4 linked regions of the Oryctolagus cuniculus genome follow. The protein of the gene in region 1 interacts with the protein of each later gene in a pairwise test. Links are inferred from orthologs where the notes say so. Each region holds a gene or a part of one and is shown on either strand. Other genes may lie near its edges.

Region 1 (4,737 bases):
TCAGGACGGAGGCCATCCTCACCCAGCCCCCACAGCCACGCCTGCCCAGTCCTACCTGGGAGTCTGCTCTCAGCCCCGCGCTGCCAGCCCTGGCCTCCCTAACCTGTCCACCTGCTCCCCTACACCTGCTTCTGGTCCACATGACTCCACCCTCCAGGGCCAGTGACAGACATCTACCGCAGCTGACTTCCCCCAGCCCTGCGGAGTCTCCCTGCCGGCGCGTGCGAAGAACATGCGGGGAGCAACCAGCCCCAGCCTTGTTCTAGCAGCTGAGCACAGAGGCAGCGGAGCTGCGGCCTGCACTGAGACACGGCACGGGGGCTCAGAGTGGGCATGGGGGGCTCAGAGTGGGCATGGGGGGCTCAGACAGGGCATGGGGTTGGGGGCAGATGAAGGGGCCTGGGCTGCGGCCTGTGCTGAGACAGGGCACGGGTTGGGGGCAGATGAAGGGGCCCGGGCTGCGGCCTGTGCTGAGACAGGGCATGGGGTTGGGGGCAGATGAAGGGGCCCGGGCTGCGGCCTGTGCTGAGACAGGGTGGCGAGGAGGAGACGACACACGGCCACCTGGCTGCATGCGTCTGAAAGGCTGACCAGACACCAGGGAGGGCGTGAGTGCCGTGCTCTGCAGGAGTCCCAGCCGCACGGGGTGGCGCCAGGGGCCAGGTCTGCACACGCTCACAGGCCCTGGGGCACGAGAAGGGCACAGACTTGACCTGCTCTCAGGGCAGCCGTGGGGCTCGGAGACCTCCAGGGGAGGCAGCCAGGAGACGTGTAGCCGCCTGGACAGAAGAAGGGTTCCCAAAAAGGAAGGGAAACGCTGGGGAAGCGACCAGGAGGCCTCTTCAGGAACCAGGGCCTGGCACCGCCATAGCACACAGGCAGCCTGTGGTGAGCTCGAGGGAGCGGGCACCGCGGAGGCCCCTGCGAGCCCGGCCAGGCACTCGGACCCGAGCACCTGCAGTTGCAGCACCCCACCAGGAGGTGGCAGCCCAGGGCTCCAGTGAGCAGCAAGTTCCAGGCCAGCACGCGGGAGTCCCCTGATGATGGCCCCCTAAGCCCCCTGCACCCGCGAGGCCCTGCACGTCTGCTCGGCTTCACAGGGCGCTTGGTGTGAGCGAGCCACGTTCAGTGTTGCAGTCCACCTGCAGCCCGTGGGCCTGCGCAGGTCAGGGACTGAGGTGACCAGTCTTCACGGTGCCCCCAGCACACAGTGGCCCTTGGCCTCCGCAGCTCCGGCAGCCTGCACGCCTTGTAAGCAGGGCATTTAAACGCCCCACTGTGCGCCGACTGCCAAGCTGCCTTCGTTTTAATAGGACTTAGCTCGGCGGCAACGGCGATACCGCTGGACACAACAGTGACGACACTGCTGTCTCAGCTGGCCGAGGGAGCACTGGGCTGCTCTGAGCCCCCCACCCCCGGCTGCCCCGTGGAAGAACAGGGTCTGGCACAGGGCCGACGTCCAGCAACCGTTATCACCCAACTCTCGAGTTATTTTTGGCAGAATCCCGGAATCGGTCGTCACTCAGCATCATATGTGAGTGTCGGCACACCCAGATGCAAGGTGCCCTTTGTCCAGCAGGAATCCCCCCCACCGCCAGTGCCCACCTGCACCACGGTGACGCTGAGGCGGCCCACGGTGCCCACCGCCCCTCCGTACTGCAGCTGCTGCGCGGCCTGGGCGTCCAGCTGGATCTGCTGCTGCTGCTGCGTGGGCGTGATGCGGAGGAAGTCCTGCGGGAGCTCCCCGATGTACACCTGCCGGGGCGAGGGCGGGAGACGGCGTCAGATGCCGGGAGCCCGGTGCAAACTGCAGCCTCTGGGCTCCACCCAGGGCCCAGTCTGCGCCCCCACCCCCACCCATTTCCTCTCCAAGCCCCACACGGTGCTCAGCCCTTCCAGCGCCTGCACCCTGACCATCAGCAAAGGGCCGTCGTCCCTCCGCCCGGAGAGCTTCTGCCGCCTCTGCCACTGAACACAGGCTCCGCTCCCCCAGGCAGGCCTGGCAGGCTGCCGCCCACACGCTTCCCTTCCGCGTGTCCACACTGAAGCCAAGGTCAGTGAACGCGCGGCACGGTCAGACAGGAGCGAGAGGAGATCTGATCTTTGGCCAAGGTCATCTGCGAGCCCCGTGCGCTGGCGCGCAGCCACGCCTACACCTGAGACAGTCCAGATGCAGAACTGTCCCAGGAGAAGACAAGAAGTAAACAGACCCAGACAAAGCCCTGTGGACATCTGACCTCCTTCTCAGGGGTCCTGCGGCTAGGTGGGCCCCGCCCAGCACCCCCACCATGAGCAGGGAGAGGGCGGGACACAGAGGAGCTACTGGGGCAGGAGAAAGACACCCCAGGGAATGAATTCCAGAGAAACTCGAAGGACCCCAAACACTCAGGAGTAGACTTTAGCGAGGATTAGCAGGGACGCCTGCAAGTGACCCCAGGAGCGGTTCACACAGGAGAGAAGCAAAGGAGATGGTGCAGGAGCCGCCGGGGCCACACTGCAGGGACTCGCGGCAAAGCAATGGCGGCCAGAAACGACCCAAGTGTCTGGGGTCCCCGGCAGGAGGGCTGAGGGCAGGGGTCCGTTGGGGTCCTCAAGATGGCCACACTGCCTGAGGAGCCTGCATGGGCTTCAGCAGGCGGGCGCGGTGAACAGTGGGAAGACCGCCCCTCCGTGACACAGGTCACGGCCTCTGGGCCAAGAAACTACCATGGAGGGAGGGGCTGTGCTCAGGGCACTGGCTGCTGCTGACCCGTGAGCCCCAGAGCCGAGGGGCCTGCCGGGAAGTAAGTGGCGTGTGTCACGGCCAGACGGAGGCCAGGAGCATGCGGTACACCCAGGGGCTCTGCAGAACCCCACTGCCTCTGCCCCACAGACCAGACCCTGAGCCTGCCTGGACCATGGTCTCCCCAAGACTCCAGGCAGGGTTCCAGAAGGTTCTTCAGTCTGGTGGGCTCCATATTGTGTGCTCAGAACACTACCAGCTGGGCCCAGCACTGTGGCACAGCGGATTAACGCCCTGGCCTGAAGCACCGGCATCCCATATGGGCACTGGTTCGAGTCCCAGCTGCTCCTCTTCCGATCAGCTCTCTGCTAATGTAACTGGGAAAGCAGTAGAGGATGACCCAAGTCCTTGGGCCCCTGCACCCGCGTGGGAGACCTGACTCCTGGCTTCGGATCGGTGCAGCTCCAGCCGTTGCAGCAGAACCATCAGATAGAAGACCTCTCTCTCTCTCTCTCTCTCTCTCTCTGCCTCTCCTCTCTCTGTGTAACTCTTTCAAATAAATAAATCAATCTTTTAAAAAAAAAAAAAAGCACTACCAGAAAGCACGCCTCCCCCAGGGCACTGGGTGTCACTTCAGGAGCCCCTGAGAGTCTGTCTCTTCGCCTGGTGTCCCAGCTCAGGCCTGGGGAGCACAGCCCAGGCCGAGTTGCAGACCTAACAGACACAGGAGGAGACGCCGGCTCCCAGAGCACTGAGCAGTTCCAGCAGAGGTGGGCAGCGTGTGACCCACAGGCTGTCAAGGCCGGTGCCTTCTTTGGCTCTGGCCTCGCCAAGGACACTGCAGGCTGAACTCCAGATTCAGCCCACCTACAGCAGACCAGCCTTTAAACTGATCTTGGCCGGGGCCGCGGCTCACTAGGCTAATCCTCCGCCTGCGGTGCCGGTACACCGGGTTCTAGTCCCGGTCGGGGCGCTGGATTCTGTCCCGGTTGCCCCTCTTCCAGGCCAGCTCTCTGCTGTGGCCAGGGACTGCAGTGGAGGATGGCCCAGGTGCTTGGGCCCTGCACCCCATGGGAGACCAGGATAAGTACCTGGCTCCTGCCATTGGACCAGCGCGGTACACCGGCCGCAGCGCGGCGGCCATTGGAGGGTGAACCAACAGCAAAGGAAGACCTTTCTCTCTGTCTCTCTCTCTCTCACTGTCCACTCTGCCTGTCCAAAAAAAAAAAAAAAACAAAACTGATCTTGTGTGGTTTGGCAGAAAGAAGTGGCTCCCCAGCCCTGGCTACAGGCTCCCGGACCACGGCTGCACAGCCGGCTTGCACCCCGCTGTCATCGTCTGAGTGCTCTCGGCAGCTCCGGCCTACACAAGCTCCTAGGAACTCCGCAGCTGGCTCTCCTGAGATGGTGCCACGTGGCCAGCTGTCCTGGGCAAAGCCGTGAGAAGGGGTCCATGGAATGACCGTGATGGAGACGTCTTCCCGCGGGCACCTGGCCCTGCCTTCACACCTGACAGCCTGCGCCATCTGTCTCCACTCAACGTAAACAGAGTATCTCGCAGAGACGACCCAATGTCAACCGGGCTCTCGGCATTAACGCACAAAAGCCCAGCTCCCACGGCCTCACCTGAGACCCTGAGACTGCAGCAGGGGCCCGCGGGGGGCCAGGCAGGCCAGCGCAAGCCCTGAAGAGCAGGCTCCGGAGAGGCGACAGCCCGTCCCGCCTGTCCCCTTCGGGGTGGAATTCTGGGTGGCGCTTCCCCTGTCATCACACCCTCCCCCGGGCCCCCACTGAAGACTGGGAATATAAAATTACTCGGAAAGGTCCAAAGACCTAGTGTTTTTTCCAAGAAGAATTTAACCATAAACTACAAGTATCAAGTGAGGGAGTCTAACAATGCGAACAGTGAACCCCGTGCGAAGGGGAGGGGCTCTCTGGGAGGAGACAGCTGGCCGCCGGCAGCACCACGGCCAGCGCCATGGGGAGCGGACACAGCGAGGCAGCCCCCTGAGGTG
Region 2 (5,225 bases), on another chromosome or scaffold:
TATTGAAGCCCATTCACCGACTTCATTTTGTTTAAAATCCACCTTTGGAGCATTACCAAGTTAATAAACACAATGATAAAAAAGAAGAAAATCTATATCCTCTTTTATGTCTACGAGGTCAAGTTGTTGAGTATTTGCCCTAGCCATACTCAGAAATTCTTTTCCCGGATGCTCTTATTCTCTCTATTCTCAGATAGAACAAATCAAACACTTGCAGTACCTGCTCCTCAAATTTCTGTTGCCCTGTTTGTGGAGGTGACTGTGTGACTGTCTGTTGAGGTTGTTCCCAGGGTAGGAGCATATAAACCGGATAGTACTGAAGCATCTATGTATAAACAGACAGGACACAAGTGATTTCATTAGATCAGCATCCTCACTTTTGAACTTCTAATGCCAAGACTATTTGAAAGCTGTTTTATATCTAGCAGTTTTACACTTTTAAACATGAGCGAAAGAATGGGATAAAGTAACCCTTCCCAAACTTTAAACTGTATCCCATCTGATATAGGACTTTGTTTTTAAGTTTACTTGATCAAACAGTTTAGACAATAGTGGGTCCAACTAAATAACAGGAGTTTTTTTTCTTGCCTTAAGAAACATATTGGAAATTGTATATGAAAGTCACTGTAAATACCTAAGAGCCTCTATAGCCTATGTAGCATTTTACCTATAGTTTTCAGGATCATTACCTGTAAGACATGGCATTAGAATTCCCAGCATAATGAATTTTTAAAAATGCATTCATTCTTTTAAAGTTATTAAAAATTAATGATTTATACTTTACTAAAGTAATCCATAAGCATTTTAGAATATTAGGAAAATCAAGAAATAGACAAGTAACAAAATCATCTGCAACTTTACCAGTCTTATTATCATGCATTGGCTCCCTAATAAATGCCTGCAAGTATTTACATACGCAAGTCTTTATAGAAAATGAGGATCACTGTATTTACATTGCAGTTTTTGTTTGTATCATTATGTAAGAGATTATATTAGACTCAAGAGATAAAAAATAAAGACCAACTTGGTTAAGGGGGTGGATATTGTGCAGTGGTTCTTAATCCTGGCTAAGAGCAAAAATCACCTATTGAGCATTTTAGAAGATGATCGTAGTTGTCATCGACTCACGGGGTTTTGATTCATTAGACTCAGAGTAGGGTACAAGCATTTGTAATTTCCAACATTACCAAAGAGATTTAGATGTTAAGCCAAGGTAGAGAGTCACTGGTTTAGTGGTTAAAAAAAAAAGGGTTGAGACTTATATTCCAGCTTAGCTATTTTCTTCATTATGATTATAAATTTAATCTTATTAAGGCTAAGTTTCCTGCTTCTTAAAGTGAAGTGATTCTATTTTTCATACATATAACTCCTTAAATGCTTATGGCCATATCTAGAAGTAACTTGTTTGGTGATGAGAATGAGACAACATTATGTGATTAGGATTACAGTAAAGCTAACTGGTGTGATTTTTTAATGAAAAGGTCAATAATCTGCTGTTGAATACCATATCTATATCCTTGCTTCTTTGAGCCTAAAATAGTATAAATTATCTTGATATTAGTCATTTTCCTTATTAACACAATTTTATTAGTTTGCCTTAATTTTTCAAGATTTTCTTATTTAATGAAAATCATCATCATTTGATTATAATATGTAATTAAATTGGAAACACTGTATACAAGAAACTGGAAATGTTTTTAGCAGAATTTTATAACTACCAAAATTACATAGATAAATGTTTCTTATCTCTATATCATAACATATACTATCAGTTTCATGTGTTTTTCCTGGAGACCCTCCTTGGCTGCCTGTTCATAAAAAGCTAATCCTACATCTACAAACCGATGTCAGCCTGATGTTGTGGCATCCAGACAATGACATGACTGTATAGATTTATCTTTATTTTTAGTTTTAAGCCTTGCCGTAGGATTCAGAGCTAGAAACACAGAGGAAAGACTTCTGGAGGGTGTCTGTGGCCATCTTTCTCTGTGAATACCAACATGCTTTTCAGTTACCTGTGCTTGCTCTTGAGGCATTTTGAAGGAGACTACATAAGGCATCACCTGCCAATGAAAGAGAATATGATAAAAATTGTATATGTGACTTTATTGTTTAAAATCCCTGAGCTACAGAGCTGCCGTATAAATGTATCATATGTATTAGCAGGCTTGCACAGTAAAAGATCATCTATTACACATACTAACATTAATACCGATTCTTTGTTTTTAAGATGGAATTTTCCTGAAACTTCTTTTAGCTCTTTTAATTTGTGGTTGTATACTAGGATAGTTGATTTGAACATTATCTTTCATATTAAATGTAAAAAAAGAGTTTAAGAAATGGTAGAGATATAAAAAGCAATATTATTCAGTGGTGCTTGTCTTAATTCAAAGCTCATTCCTATTCTTTTTCACATTAAATATGCAATTCTTTCTCCTCAAATGGAGAACTAACTTACGTGATTAGGGCCCTGTTGGGTCTGTGGTGGAGGTTGAGGCTGTGAGGGATCCATTGGGTTTGCCTGGGCTCCTTGGGTAAAACTGGCCTGTCCTGAGAAAGGCATCTGACTGGGGAGCAATCCAACAAACCGGTCCAGAGTTGGTAAGGAGAACTGAGGGAGTCCTGGAATTTGAGCCTGCTGCTGCTGTTGAAGAACACCAGAGAGAGGAGGAATCCATGAATTGAATGGGCCCTGCAAGGACACACAGGAAAAAAAAGAAAGCCTTTCTCTTTCATGTCAAAAAGATTTTAACATCAATTTTGAGCAAGAAAGAGACAAAATGTAACAAGTTTTGTGTTTTTCATGCTGCATTATAAAAAGCATCCTGACTCCTGTGAGCCATATAAATAGTATGAAACATGGCTGAGTTCCCATTGATGTGTTTCAGAAATGGAATCAGAATACACTTTGTTGCTGTTGTTGTAAAGAATAACACAAGAAACGAGCAGTGGAAAAAATTTTTCCTTAATTATTGAGGTTGAGGTACCTGGAGCTGCAGTGGCAAAAGTTGGGCATTGTTAAGTTTCAGAAGTAACTAGAAAAGGAAACATAACGTGAAAACAAGATTACTGCACACGCTAAAATGATTAAGAATAATGTTTACTACAAATATGACACAAGTTGAAGCTGACTGATCAGTTTCCTGTTAGAAGTGAGACATTTTCTCACTAAGCTTACAGTAAATTATAGTGATTAAAGGTTACAGTTAAAAACAAGGTTGGGATTTAACAATATCTCCATGCTATGTGTGATATTGCACAACGTTAGCACATTCCCGTGTTTTAATTAGTTATTTTGTCCTTCTAAACAGATATAGACACTTGTAGTAGGTGCTATTAGAACAAAAGGAGGGAAAAGGTAATTATCTCTGCCTTTGAAGAATTTGTAATCAAGCAAGGGAGGCATTATACTACACTAGTAGTAATCTGGTATGAAAAGCTAATGTGAAAATTGGAAATTTAGGTATACATAAGAGTAGTAGGTGGGATGCAAGATTATTGAAGGCTATTGTCTCTTTTCACTAGAGATCGCATTAATTATTTAAACTTACCTCATTGCTGTTGCTAGCAGACAAAAGACGTTGTGGGATAAGCTAAAACAAAAAAGGAAAAATAGAAATGTTAAACAAAGGAATTGTAGATTTTACTTGGTAAGATCAGTAGTAGCATCAAATTACTTACTGGGGCTGATAATGTAGTTCCCAGAAGTCCAAGAAGAGCTAGAATTTTCATTTTCAGATGAAATATCTAGAAAATAAATTGTGATTCTTTTCTTATCAAATATTTTGTTAAATATTTATTTATTAGAGAGATAGAGGTATATAGACAGACACAGAGAACACTCACCTCCTGGTCCATTTCCTGAATACCTGCAAGGGCCAAGTCAAAGCGGGGATAGATAATTAAAAAATGAAGTTCAGGTCTCCCAAGAGGGTGGGCAGGATCCCAATCACCTGAGTCACTACTGTTACCTCCTACAGTTGGGCATTAGCAGGAAGCTTGCTTAGGAGCTGCACCCAGATAGCAAATGAAGGTATTGTAATGCAGGCAGTGGGCCTCCTAACTGGTGTCTTAACTGCTAGGTTAAGATTCTTAGCTTGAAAGAGTCTCTCCTCTTGAAAATCATGACAAAAGTTAGTTGGTATTGTTCAGAGCAGTTGGATGAATACTTCAGTATTTACTCTTATTTGAAGATTTAAAATTTAAATTTATTTTTATGTGTCTGTAACAGAACTTGTATTTTCTCTTAGATATTTATAGAACCTGAAATTACTTGTCCTTTTAGACTGACTAAAAGGCTCACGTGGTGGCATATGATCTAACTGAAAGCATGAATGAGCAAGATGATCTCATCTTTTTGCTACTCTAGATTGAAAGAAGGCCCTTCAGACAATGGGATACCCTTAACTATGTTCAACCAATTGGGTCCTTATTGCTAAACAATTTTATTTCTATGTTGAAAAACAATAGTTGTCTAACATTAAAAATTTATTAAAACTAAGCAGTTGAGACAATATTTGTCTTTTTTCATTATTTCTTAAAGTTTTTTTACTTGTAAGGCAGGGTGGTGGGGGACAGATTCAGAGACAGAAAGAGATCTGCCATCTACTGGTTTACTCTCCAAATGGTGCAATGGCCAGAGCTGGGAAAAGCCAAAGCTAGGAGCCAGGAATTCCATCCAGGGATCTCATGTGGATGGCAGGGTCTCAAGTATTTGGGTCATCCTCTGCTGCTTTCCCAGGTGTATTAGCAAGGAACTGGATTGGAAGCAGAGCAGCCAATAGTCAAACTGGTGATCCAATATGGGATGCTGGCATCACAGTGGTGGCTTAATCCAGTGTGCCACAATGCTTGATCCTTCTTTTCTTGTTTTAAAAAATATATATGTTTATATTATAAATTTTAGACACACAGAGTCTGGAGAGAGTGGGAGAAAGGGAGAGAGGAAGAGAAGGACACAGAGAGAGAAATACAGAGACAAATCCCATTTTGTAATTCATTCCTTAAATGCCAATATGGCCAAGACTAGGCCAGGCTGAAGCTGGGTGCCAGGAACTCAACCCAAATCTCTCATATGGATGAAGGGACCCAACTACTTGGTCCATCACTTACTGCTTCCCTGAATATGCATTAGCAGGAAGTTGAAATTAGAAGTTGAGCTGGGACTTGAATCCAGGCACTCCAATATGAGATACAGGCATTCCAAGTGGCATATTTAAAATGTA
Region 3 (5,427 bases), on another chromosome or scaffold:
AGGAGCTTCTTACGGGTCTCCCATGTGGGTTCAGGGGCCCAAGCACTTGGCCCCTGCTTCCCCAGGCCATTAGCAGGGAGCTGGATCGGAAGTGGAGCAGCTGGGTCTCGAACCAGCACCCATGTGGGATGCCAGCACTGTAGGCCAGGGCGTTAACCTGCTGCACCACAGCGCCGGCCCCTGGACTTTAATAATTCTAAGAAGCACATTCCAGCTACAGTACTGAGAACCCCAAGAGGAGTGAGGTTGGTGACAACCGAGGTGGGGGTCACACTTGAGAGCTCCCTGGGGACTCGATTTACACATAGGACGAACCCCAGTTTCCAGGTAAGAAATGGACCCATCTTTCTAAGCATGGCTCAGCTGTACCCAGGGTTCCAGACACTCTCACTGCCACCGTGCACAAGGTTTCTCACAGCTGTCCCAGGTCAGGGATGAGGCCCGAACAGCCCTGTGCTGTGGGGATACAGTCAGTAATTCACCACCCAGGCCAGGTCCCTGCCGACTTGCCTGTCAGTGGCGTCAGTGAGCCCAGAGTTAGGCGGCAGAGACAGCAGCTTCAAGTCCGACGCCGCTGCGACCTGAAGAGCCTCTTCGCCGGGAAGCAGGTGCAGCAGTTTCCTGGGAAACAGGAACCGTGGGCCAATCGGCTCTGCGACGCACAGTTCCCAGTGCCCATGAATTACTAAGGAGGGGAGCAGCCACTAACAGGGTTTGCGTGGACTCTGCGCACACGCACTATTGAATTACACACCAGCTCTGCAGGCCGGGACATGGCACAGGGTTCAGATACGCGGTGGAGGGGAAGAAGATACTTGGCCAAGGTCACACAGCGGAGTTACTAACAGGGACGACCCTGCATTCCCAGCCAAAGCCAAGGGAGAATGATCACACAGACGTGCAGAGGTTGACGATGACAGCCGGAACCTGGAGGAATGATCAGCAGACAGGAGAGCAAGCACACTGTGTATGGAAAGGTTTAAGGGGCTGGCGCTGTGGCGCAGCGGGTTAATGCCCTGGCCTGATGTGCCAGCATTTCATATGGACGCCGGTTCTAGTCCCAGCTGCTCCTCTTCTAATCCAGCTCTCTGCTACGGCCTGGGACAGCAGTGGAAGCTGGCCCAAGTCCCTGCACCAGCGTGGGAGACCTGGAAGAAGCTCCTGGCTCCTGGCTTCAGATTGGTGCAGCTCTGGCTGTTGTGGTCATTTGGGGAGTGGGCCAGTGAAGGGGAGACCTCTCTCTGGCTCTACCTCTAACTCTTTCAAAGAAATAAAATAAATCTTAAAAAAAAAAATCTTTTCTGGCCCTGCGCCCTTACCCTCTCCTTCCTCACCCACAGAAAGCCCAAGACTAAGTGTTGTGGCTGGCTGAAGCCAGCGTCAGGTGGCTGTCCCAGGAGCCGTGAGCTCACTTCGCAGAGGTGGGCGTGGGATTCGGCAGCCCTTAGGACACCGCTGGGGCACCCACGTCTCGTGCTGGGGTGCCGGGGTTCGAGTCCCGGGAGCTCCTGGCTCCCGCTTCCTGCCAACAATGCACACCTGGGAAGGGGTGGGTGCCGGCTCAAGTGCTCACGGCCCCACCGCCCACGCGGGAGACCTGGGCTTTTGAGGTTATCTGGGGAGCACACTAGTGGACCGACCTCTCTCCCCGCTGTCCGCCCCGGGTCTCCTCTCCTCTCCTCTCCTCTCAGGCGCCGGCTTCCGGGCTGGGTCTGCGAAGCAACAGCGTCCCCCGGTTGCTAGGGAACCAAGCGCCGCCGCTCGGTCGCTAAGGGGAAGTTAAGAGGTAGACATCCTGGGTGAAAGTGGACGCATCACGTGATCAGTTCTCGGGGCGGGGAAATCCTACCACACCAACCAGGCTTAGAGAAAACAAACGTTTACCCAATCAGCACTTTCTGTGGGCGGGGATCTTCGTAGATCCACCTCCTCGCCTTGCCCCTATTTAAGTGATTGACTCGTCTTTATCCAATAATACTAAGGATTCTCTAGCTTGACCGATATATGGACGAATCAACACGCAAAGCCTCTCTTTAGGAGGCGGGCCAGGGGAGGTGCCGCTACGCCTGACGGGGACTCCAGCGACCTAGCTCGCTCTCCGGCCAATCGGACGCCGCGGGGTGGGTGGGAGCTTCACTGAGGTAGAGGCGAAGGCCAATCGGATGAGGGCTGTGTAGGCGTTGCCCAATAGAGACGCGACAAGGGGGCGTGGTCAAGGGCCCGGGGCTCGGCGTTCCTGAGGGTGGGGCGGGGGCAAGTGTCAGGTCGGGACCGCGGCTGGGGACGGCGGAGACCCGGGCGGGCAGACTGGACGCCCCGTCCGCCGCCGCGCTTTCCGTGCAAGATGGAGTTCCTCCTGGGGAATCCGTTCAGCACGCCGGTGGGGCAGTGCCTCGGTAAGGCCCCGCGAGCGGCGAGCGGCGAGCGGCGAGCGGCGAGCGCCGGGGTGGGTGACGGCGGCGGCTGTCGAGGCTGGTGCGGACCGCGCGGGCCGCTGCCGGCTGAGGGTCCCCCGCCTCCAGCCCCGCAGCATCTGTTGGCGTCGCGCCTGGGCCGGGCAGCGGGGCCAGCTCACGGGACGGGTCCGGCATCCTGGTCGCCAGGCCTCCGCTGGGCAGCGGGATGCCCTGCCAGGAGGCGCCCCTGGGGCCCAGCTCGTACTCTTGCGAGACTTCCAGCGGCCCTAGCCATCCGGGCCGGCCCTCCCTGTCCCCTCGAGGTGGTGCTACGCTGAGCACCCTCTTCCACCCTGCCGGCCTCGCGGCCCTGTTTCCCCCCACCCCGCCAGGACCCGCTCACCCGGCCGTCCCGGACGCCTGTCCCTCCCCGTCAGTACCAGCAGCCCTCAGACTGGGCGTCTCCCCAGAAAATGCCCCAGGTTGCAAGACTCGCTCGTTGGCGAGGCGACTCAGCCGAGCTGTCGAGGGGGTCGTGGTGGGGCGGGGTGTTGGAGGGTGGCGGGGCGCTGTGGGGGCGGGGTGCCATTCCGGACTGAGCGTCCCGGGAAAGATGGGAGACTGTGCAAGTGAGTGATAAGAGCCTGGAGCGGGCACAGTGGCCTTGTGCCCCCTCTGAGTTGAAGTTCCGCTGTGAGTGTTTGGAGGGAGAGAGCTGGTGAGGCGTTTGGGGCGGTCCCGTTGTGGAGTTGTGATCCTAATAGCAGCTGCATGGTGAACAGGTTGCTAATACCCCCACCCCACCCCCCCACCCCCCGCTCTGCTCCGTTTTATTTGCCAAAGCTGAGATCTGGTGGTGCCCGGCCCGGCATTGCCTGCTGGCGTTCTCAGGGTTGGGGGTGGGGCTCTGGCCACCTGGGAAATGGCCGCAGAGATGAGCAGCATCGTGGGTGTGGGAGGAAGCACTCCGGCGTGGCCACCGTGTGGGATTCCCTGAACTGGAAAAGCAGTTGCTTTCCCACCTGGGGCAGGTGCTAGCGACGGGCGTGACCCCTCAAGAATGCTGCCTCGCGCCTTTGACCATCTTAGTTGGAGGACTCGTAAGACATCTTTAGGAACGGGAGGAGCCTTTGCTGGCCCAGGGGCCCGACCGGTTTAGGCCGTGGCGATTTGTTCACTTCCTGCTTTGCGTACCGATTTCCCACCACTTTTCAGCCTTTCGTGGGCCCTGGCAAGTTCCGAGGCCTCTCCTGTTGGCTAACAGGCATTCAGGACGCCTTCCTGGTGTAGTAGCTTTTTATTTTTTTTTTTAATTAAAGATCGTGTTTATTTATTTGAGAGGTAGAGCTACAGACAGAGGGAGTTAGACACAGAGAGAGGTCTTCCGTCCACTGGTTCATTCCCCAAATTGTTGCAACGGCCGGAGCTGCGCCGATCCAGAGCCAGGAGCTTCTTCTGGGTCTCCTGCGCAGGTGCAGGGATGCAAGCACTTGGGCCGTCTTCTACTGCTTTCCCAGGCCACAGCAGAGAGCTGGATGGGAAGTGGAGCAGCCAGGACTTGAACTGGTGCCCATGTGGGATGCCTCTGCCTGTGGCGCCACAGCACCAGCCCCAGTGTAGTGGTTTTTATAAAGGGTCATGGACACTGGGCCCCGAAGTCTCTTTTGCCACCTTGATGGGGTTCTGCTGCCGGCTCAGGTGTCTCTCTGGGCCCGCCCCTTCCGTTCTTCCTCCCATCTTCCCTGCTTCCCGGTGGGGCCGTCCACTGCAGCCGCGTCCCATTTCTTACTGGTGCCGCCCTCCTGCTAGTTACAGAGGAGCCTGTAAGCTTGGGGTGGGTTTCTGCTTTTCCCTTCTTCTCCGCACCCTTTATTATAGAAAGTTCTACATCTTTAACATGTAGGGTAATCGGTGAGGCGGGGAAATCAAAGGGGATTTAAGAAATCACAAATAGGATGTTGGGATATGTGTCAAGTACAAGGAACGTCATACTTAGGTCAGGAAGGACCTGAGTTGAATGTTGGGTGGGCCCATTTCTCAGCTCTGGGACCCCAGGAAATGGTGTGAGCTTTTGACTGTGTATCTGCTAAGAAAGACAGAGAGAGAGAGAGAGCGAGCGAGCGAGCACGCGCCATCCGGAGTGGCACTGTTTCAATAGCATAATGTGTGTAATACATTGAGCATAGCGCCTACAACATAGCAGAGGTTCAGTAAATCTGACCGTCAGCGTGAGTAACAGAATCATTCAGTTAGGCTTGGATTGCTCTCCTGGAGAGGGTACGAGAGACCAGTGGCCCATCCGTGACCCGTGAAGGAAACTGGCCCTCCCAGCCAGCACCGTCCACCGTCGCTTGTCAGAGACACCTGACCGGAAAGATGATGGAGGCTCCCGTTGCCAGGCAACCAGTAGGCAGAGCTGTCATCATCATAGTTCAAGTTAGTTGATGCAGGGTGAGGGGACAGATAAGGTGCTAATACGTATGCTGCACTGTGGTGACCAAGCATAAAGGTGATCTTAAAAGTATGCTCCCTGAAGGGTCGGAGGCTGGGAGAGGGCGGCCCGCAGAAATAAACATAATGGCAACAAACTAATAACTGCAACAGTGGCTGTAGCTTCCACAGAGCAGTTCGAATAGCCATCTTTTTAAAGCATAACTTAGTAATCTGGTTGGTTTATTTTCAATTCTTTGTTTTGTTTTTTTTTTAAACTTTACTTACTTGAGTGACCGAGACCCAGTGAGACAGATTGAAAGATGGAGAGCCCCATGTCAGCTGTTCACGCCACAGATGCCCACAAGAGCCAGGCCTGGGCCAGGAACTCAATCCAGGTCTCCCTCATGGGTGGCAGAAGTTTAGTCATCTGAGCCATCGCCGCTGCCTCCCAAGGGCCGCCTTGGCAGGAGGTTGGAGCTGGCGCCAAACCCAGCCCCTCCCAGGTGGGACGCCGGTCTGTCTACCTCCAGGTTAAGCACCTGCTGTCGACACTGTGCCTTGACCTTAGAGCTGTTGTGAGATTAAGCTTCATCGTCCT
Region 4 (4,737 bases), on another chromosome or scaffold:
AAAGCCAAATTTAAAGACATGAATGTAAATATTTCTGTCACCATAAAATCATGAGATTTCCTCTAAAGGAAATTGAAAAGTATCATTTGTAGCAGTTAGGGAGAAAGTAAAAGACATTTCCTGATAAACAGCACTGTTCTGGGTTTTCTGAAATTCCAAGCTGATCCACAGTGGGAAGGATTTAACATGCCTTGTCCTGCCCAGCCAAGGGTAAAAATTTATGGTACAGACAGGGTTCTGTCCTCACCTAGAAGCTATTAACTTCCCATAATCTGAAATGAAACACAGCTATGGGAATGCTATTTCTTCCCTCTGAAAATTCCTAACATCTAAGGAAACTATAATGTAAGTGATTCTACCCACACCACTGGCCCACATAAGCAACTAGGCAGTATTTTAGAACTAGGGAACCTGGCCATCAGAAAATCTCTAGTGCAGGGTCGTATTTTACTCTGGAAACAGCAGATAACAAGAGATGATGAGAGAAAAGCAAACTGTTTTCAATTTTGTTAAACTGCTGGATCTCACCATTTTCTACTATCCTCTATCCTCGTTTTGTAATTTGCTAATTGTTCTTAGGAATAAGGATAGTAGAAGGTAACCAGTAAATTAGATAATATAGGTGATGCCTAACCTGCAATGCATTTTTAACTACTTCATTTACTTTCATATAAACTCTACAACAACCATGGTTCCCCTTTTATAAGGTAAGAAAGTCTCAGAGGTTAGGGGGCTCAGAAGACGTCAACTGGAACTTCATTAGCTCTAAAGCTGGCATTTTTCCACCTTACATTTCACCCGCACATCGATCATGCCTTTAAAATCCTCAATGTGTTCACCTGCATCAAAGATTTCCTTACCTGATGCCATGGCACAGTAGAAAAAAACAATGATAAAAGTGTATGAGTTCAGAGTAGACTTAAGAGTACTGGCCACCAAACTCAACAAAGCAAGCCAGCTGAATTCCTGAGGCTCTAAGCCAGTAGGATGAGCTCCAAGGACCTGCTATCCCAGAAATGTCCCATCCCTGCACCTGCTTCAACCCAACCATATGCTAACAAGTAATTACATCTCCTGTTATAGTACTCTGGTCAAACTGACTTCAGTCCTTCTCAGACGGCATTTAATCATGAGACCAAGGAGAAATGCTTCACATCAAGTTCTTCTGCTGGTCTGAAAAGGCCCAAGTGCTTATTTACTTAAGTCTGAAAGCTGAGCGTTCACGGTGTTGAGTTCTCCCAGAGGGGCCCCAGGCATCGGGGGACTGGGACTGAGGTCCAGGAGATCACAAGATGGAGCGGAAGGCTCACTGGTAGCCTGCAAACAGAGCAAACAAAAACAGAACTTGGAGAACACATGTCAGGTGGTCGATAGTGGCTTTTTCACTATGGCCTTTAATTGTAGACAGGAAGACTGTTACTAGGATGCATTCTGAGGAAGCAGTCTTCATTCAACAGTCAATAATAAACTAAACCTCATCTCACTACCTACTTGGCTTCCATACTCAGGAATCTTATGACCTCTGAACAAAAACTTAGTAACATTGAGTTTTTACAGCAGATACTCTTTACCACCAAAATCACATCAAAATGTCAATGCATTTCTCTGCTGAAAACTGTTTTAGGGTAGCCTTGCTTCTTACATATGTGATACGAACATTTATAACATTTCTAATCACTTACATTGGTGGCTTCCTCCTGGTTTCTATTTTGCTCTAAAATCCTTTGCTGATTTCGAGTAAACCTGTTGGCATTAGCAAAATAAAAGTATTTAAATACAAAGATATGAAAATGTCACAAAATTTAGCAATTATTAGTATGCAAATATTTAAGAATGAAATAATTAGCCTATCATTTAATTCCCAGTAAAATACTTTTAATAATTTTCTCCCAATTTTGAGTGTTAATACTTATAGAAAACTAAAAATATTTTTGAAAAATTAATAATCCCATCAGCCAGAAATTAACACTATTAAGATGTAATTTTTCTTTCTTTTTTTAAGGTTTTATTTATTTGAGAGGTAGAGTTACAGACAGTGAGAGGGCAAAACAGAGAGAGAGAGAGAGAGAGAGAGAGAGAGAGCGGTTTTCCATCCGCTGGTTCACTCCCCAAATGGATACAACAGCCGGAGCTGAGCTGATCTGAAGCCAAGAGTCAGGAGCTTCTTCCGAGTCTCCCATGTAGGTGCAGGGGCCCATGCACTTGGGCCATCTTCTACTGCTTTCCCAGGCCATAGCAGAGTGCTGGATTGGAAGAGGAGCAGCCAGGACTAGAACCGGTGCCCATATGGGATGCCGGGGCTGTAGGCAGAGGATTAACCTATTGCACCACAGTGCCAGCCCCAGTGTTTCTTCTATAAATGAATCTATTTTAAAACTTAGTTGAAATTAAGCTTTACATAATTCTGTATCCTGATATCAATATGTTACACTTTTCTACTTAATGAGAAGTATAATTTTAATATTTACCTCATGAATCTATAACAACTTCAACCAGTTACTTCAGTTGTTTTTGACTTTGCCATCATAATTTTCCATAAAAATTAAAATACAATATTTTTATTGTTTATCCTCATTCTTCTTTTTTTAAGTTTTATTTTATTTGAAAGGCGGAGTTATAGAGAGAGTGGGAAAGAGAGAGATCCAGGAGCTTCTTCCCGATCTAACACATGAGTGGTAGGGGTCCAAGCACTTGGGCCATCTTCCATTGCTTTTCTAGGCACATTAGCAGGGAGCTGGATCAGAAATGGAGCAGCCAGGACACGAACCAGCGCCTATATGGGATGCTGGTGCTACAGGTGGTGGCTTAATCTGCTATGCTACAAAGCCAGCCTGTTTTCTTTATTCTTCTAGACTCTGATACCTTCAGAATATTGATCTTTTACTCTTTTTTTCGTCACTTAACCGCTGAGGTAAAAGAGGAACTGTTAAACAGTATAGATGTAAAACACTAGTGAAGTCTAAGACAGAAGTTCAAGGTCAGCATTACTACCTATTAGCTACATAACCAGGGGTATGACTTCCCGAACTCAGCTCTCTATCTGCTAAAAAGGAATAACACTGGAATCATTTCCTTAGGAAGTTATTTTTAGGGGCAAGTATAGACAGATAATGAACTATTATTGGACAGTATATTACTATTAAAACAGATGAATGTGGGAATGCTTTGAAAATTGAGTTGCCTTCAGAAATCTATTGCAAGTATTACTATTACGACATATTGACACCATAAGCTTAAACCCTAAAGTCTAAATGCTTATACTGAATCTGAACATGCATCAGGCTTAAGGATTATCACAAAACACATGTTCTGAAATTCCAACTACTTATAGCATTGACTTCTTGCATGTCAATCAGTTATGTGCTGGGTATGAACAGCATTCCCAGATAAAGCCTAGAATTACCAAACTTCAACTTTCTTATTTGCACTACTTCCTTGATAAGATGAGTGAAAACTTCCGGGAATGACGGAATAGGGGAACGTGTTTTGCAAGTGGGATGCATGTGAATCTTTTGGGGCCAGAGGGCAGATTCTGATAGGCAGAAAAATGGCCCCTTCACATTCTAGTGGGCAGAGCCAGTGCATGCGTCAGGGTACATGGGAAAGGGGGAAATAAATGTTGTAAACAAAGTGAAGTTGGCTAGTGTGCTGAACTTGAGTGGGAGGATTATCTTAGACTGTACAGATCAGCCCAATGTAGTCAAAAATATCCTTAAATACAGAAGAGAGAAGTAGAGGGAGAAGCAAGAGTGATACAGTGGACAAAGAACTACTAGACATTGCTGGCTTTGAAGATGAAAGACAGGGGACAGGAGCCAAGGAAAATAGGCAGTCTCTGGAAATGTAAATGTTAAAAGGGTAAATTCTCCACCAGAGGCCCCAAAAGATTCAGCACTATGGGTACTTCGAATTTAGGCCAGTGTTACCCTGACTCCTGATTCATGAAACTTAGTAATTTATCATCTTGTAATAATAAATTTGTGTTGTTTTAAGCCACTAGGTTTGCAGTCATTTGCCATAACAATCACAGAAGACTGAAACACCAGACTAGCACCTTCTCTAGAAGCAAGACTTTGTCTCTGAATTCTAGACGTGAGCATTTGAATCACGTGATTTCCTGCTGTCACTTTGGTACACATGCTCCAAGCTGAATCAGAGTGAGCTGTTCACAGAAGTCATCCAATGCTCTGATAGTTAGGCCACATAAGTACATATTCCCCCTCAGGGGAAGTCTTGAGGCAGCGGTCTTACGGTTTTCAACAGAATTCTCCAAAATGAAAACCAGAAGGCAGCACTGAACTGAAAATCATGTGGGAATTTTCCTTGGATATCTTTCTGCTTACAAAGATATATATCACAGAAAACAAAGGGCAAGGGCTGTGCATTCATTTGGTGGTTTCTGGCCACTGGGCTCACGCCATCAGTCAATGCCTTGTCATTGTTTCCGATGAACGGCAGCTATCCCTAATAGGCAGTAAATATAATACAGGGAAGAAAACAAACTACCATTGAATAGCCACTGACTTCATTTCAATGATTCTCCTGTTTCATTCATAATGAATAGATAAAAACAAGTCAATAAATTAAATGGATTAATGAAATATTAGAATGCCAGCAAATTGACACTCATTGTTTTTGTCCTTTAAAACATTTTTATTTTTGTTTTATTATTTTTTATTTATGTAAGGTGTACAAATTTCATATATACAGATTTATGAGCATAATGACTTTTCTCAC

Evidence for each region.
Region 2: the proteins of TOLLIP (region 1) and ODAM interact in a two-hybrid assay, tested with the Homo sapiens proteins (2 studies listed by BioGRID and IntAct). The two-hybrid records come from large-scale screens. The link is inferred for Oryctolagus cuniculus from reciprocal best matches to the Homo sapiens genes TOLLIP and ODAM.
Region 3: the proteins of TOLLIP (region 1) and TOM1L2 interact in binary tests that used the Homo sapiens proteins (3 or more experiments, as listed by UniProt). The link is inferred for Oryctolagus cuniculus from reciprocal best matches to the Homo sapiens genes TOLLIP and TOM1L2.
Region 4: the proteins of TOLLIP (region 1) and TOM1L1 interact in binary tests that used the Homo sapiens proteins (3 or more experiments, as listed by UniProt). The link is inferred for Oryctolagus cuniculus from reciprocal best matches to the Homo sapiens genes TOLLIP and TOM1L1.

The regions. Positions count from the first base shown.
Region 1 is NC_091432.1:2,059,397-2,064,133, reverse strand, and holds part of TOLLIP (toll-interacting protein), read right to left. Parts: exon of another isoform or gene 2,775-4,737; intron 1,756-2,774; coding exon 1,606-1,755; intron 1-1,605. UniProt on the Homo sapiens protein: Component of the signaling pathway of IL-1 and Toll-like receptors. Inhibits cell activation by microbial products. Recruits IRAK1 to the IL-1 receptor complex. Inhibits IRAK1 phosphorylation and kinase activity.
Region 2 is NC_091439.1:95,210,265-95,215,489, forward strand, and holds the start of ODAM (odontogenic ameloblast-associated protein), read right to left. Parts: upstream 3,733-5,225; coding exon 3,682-3,732; intron 3,594-3,681; coding exon 3,552-3,593; intron 3,036-3,551; coding exon 2,988-3,035; intron 2,693-2,987; coding exon 2,459-2,692; intron 2,064-2,458; coding exon 2,016-2,063; intron 326-2,015; coding exon 221-325; intron 1-220. UniProt on the Homo sapiens protein: Tooth-associated epithelia protein that probably plays a role in odontogenesis, the complex process that results in the initiation and generation of the tooth. May be incorporated in the enamel matrix at the end of mineralization process.
Region 3 is NC_091448.1:62,676,787-62,682,213, reverse strand, and holds the start of TOM1L2 (TOM1-like protein 2), read left to right. Parts: upstream 1-2,264; 5' UTR 2,265-2,344; coding exon 2,345-2,396; intron 2,397-5,427. UniProt on the Homo sapiens protein: Acts as a MYO6/Myosin VI adapter protein that targets myosin VI to endocytic structures. May also play a role in recruiting clathrin to endosomes. May regulate growth factor-induced mitogenic signaling.
Region 4 is NC_091448.1:30,674,195-30,678,931, reverse strand, and holds part of TOM1L1 (TOM1-like protein 1), read right to left. Parts: intron 1,744-4,737; coding exon 1,683-1,743; intron 1,318-1,682; coding exon 1,200-1,317; exon of another isoform or gene 1,102-1,199; intron 1-1,101. UniProt on the Homo sapiens protein: Probable adapter protein involved in signaling pathways. Interacts with the SH2 and SH3 domains of various signaling proteins when it is phosphorylated. May promote FYN activation, possibly by disrupting intramolecular SH3-dependent interactions.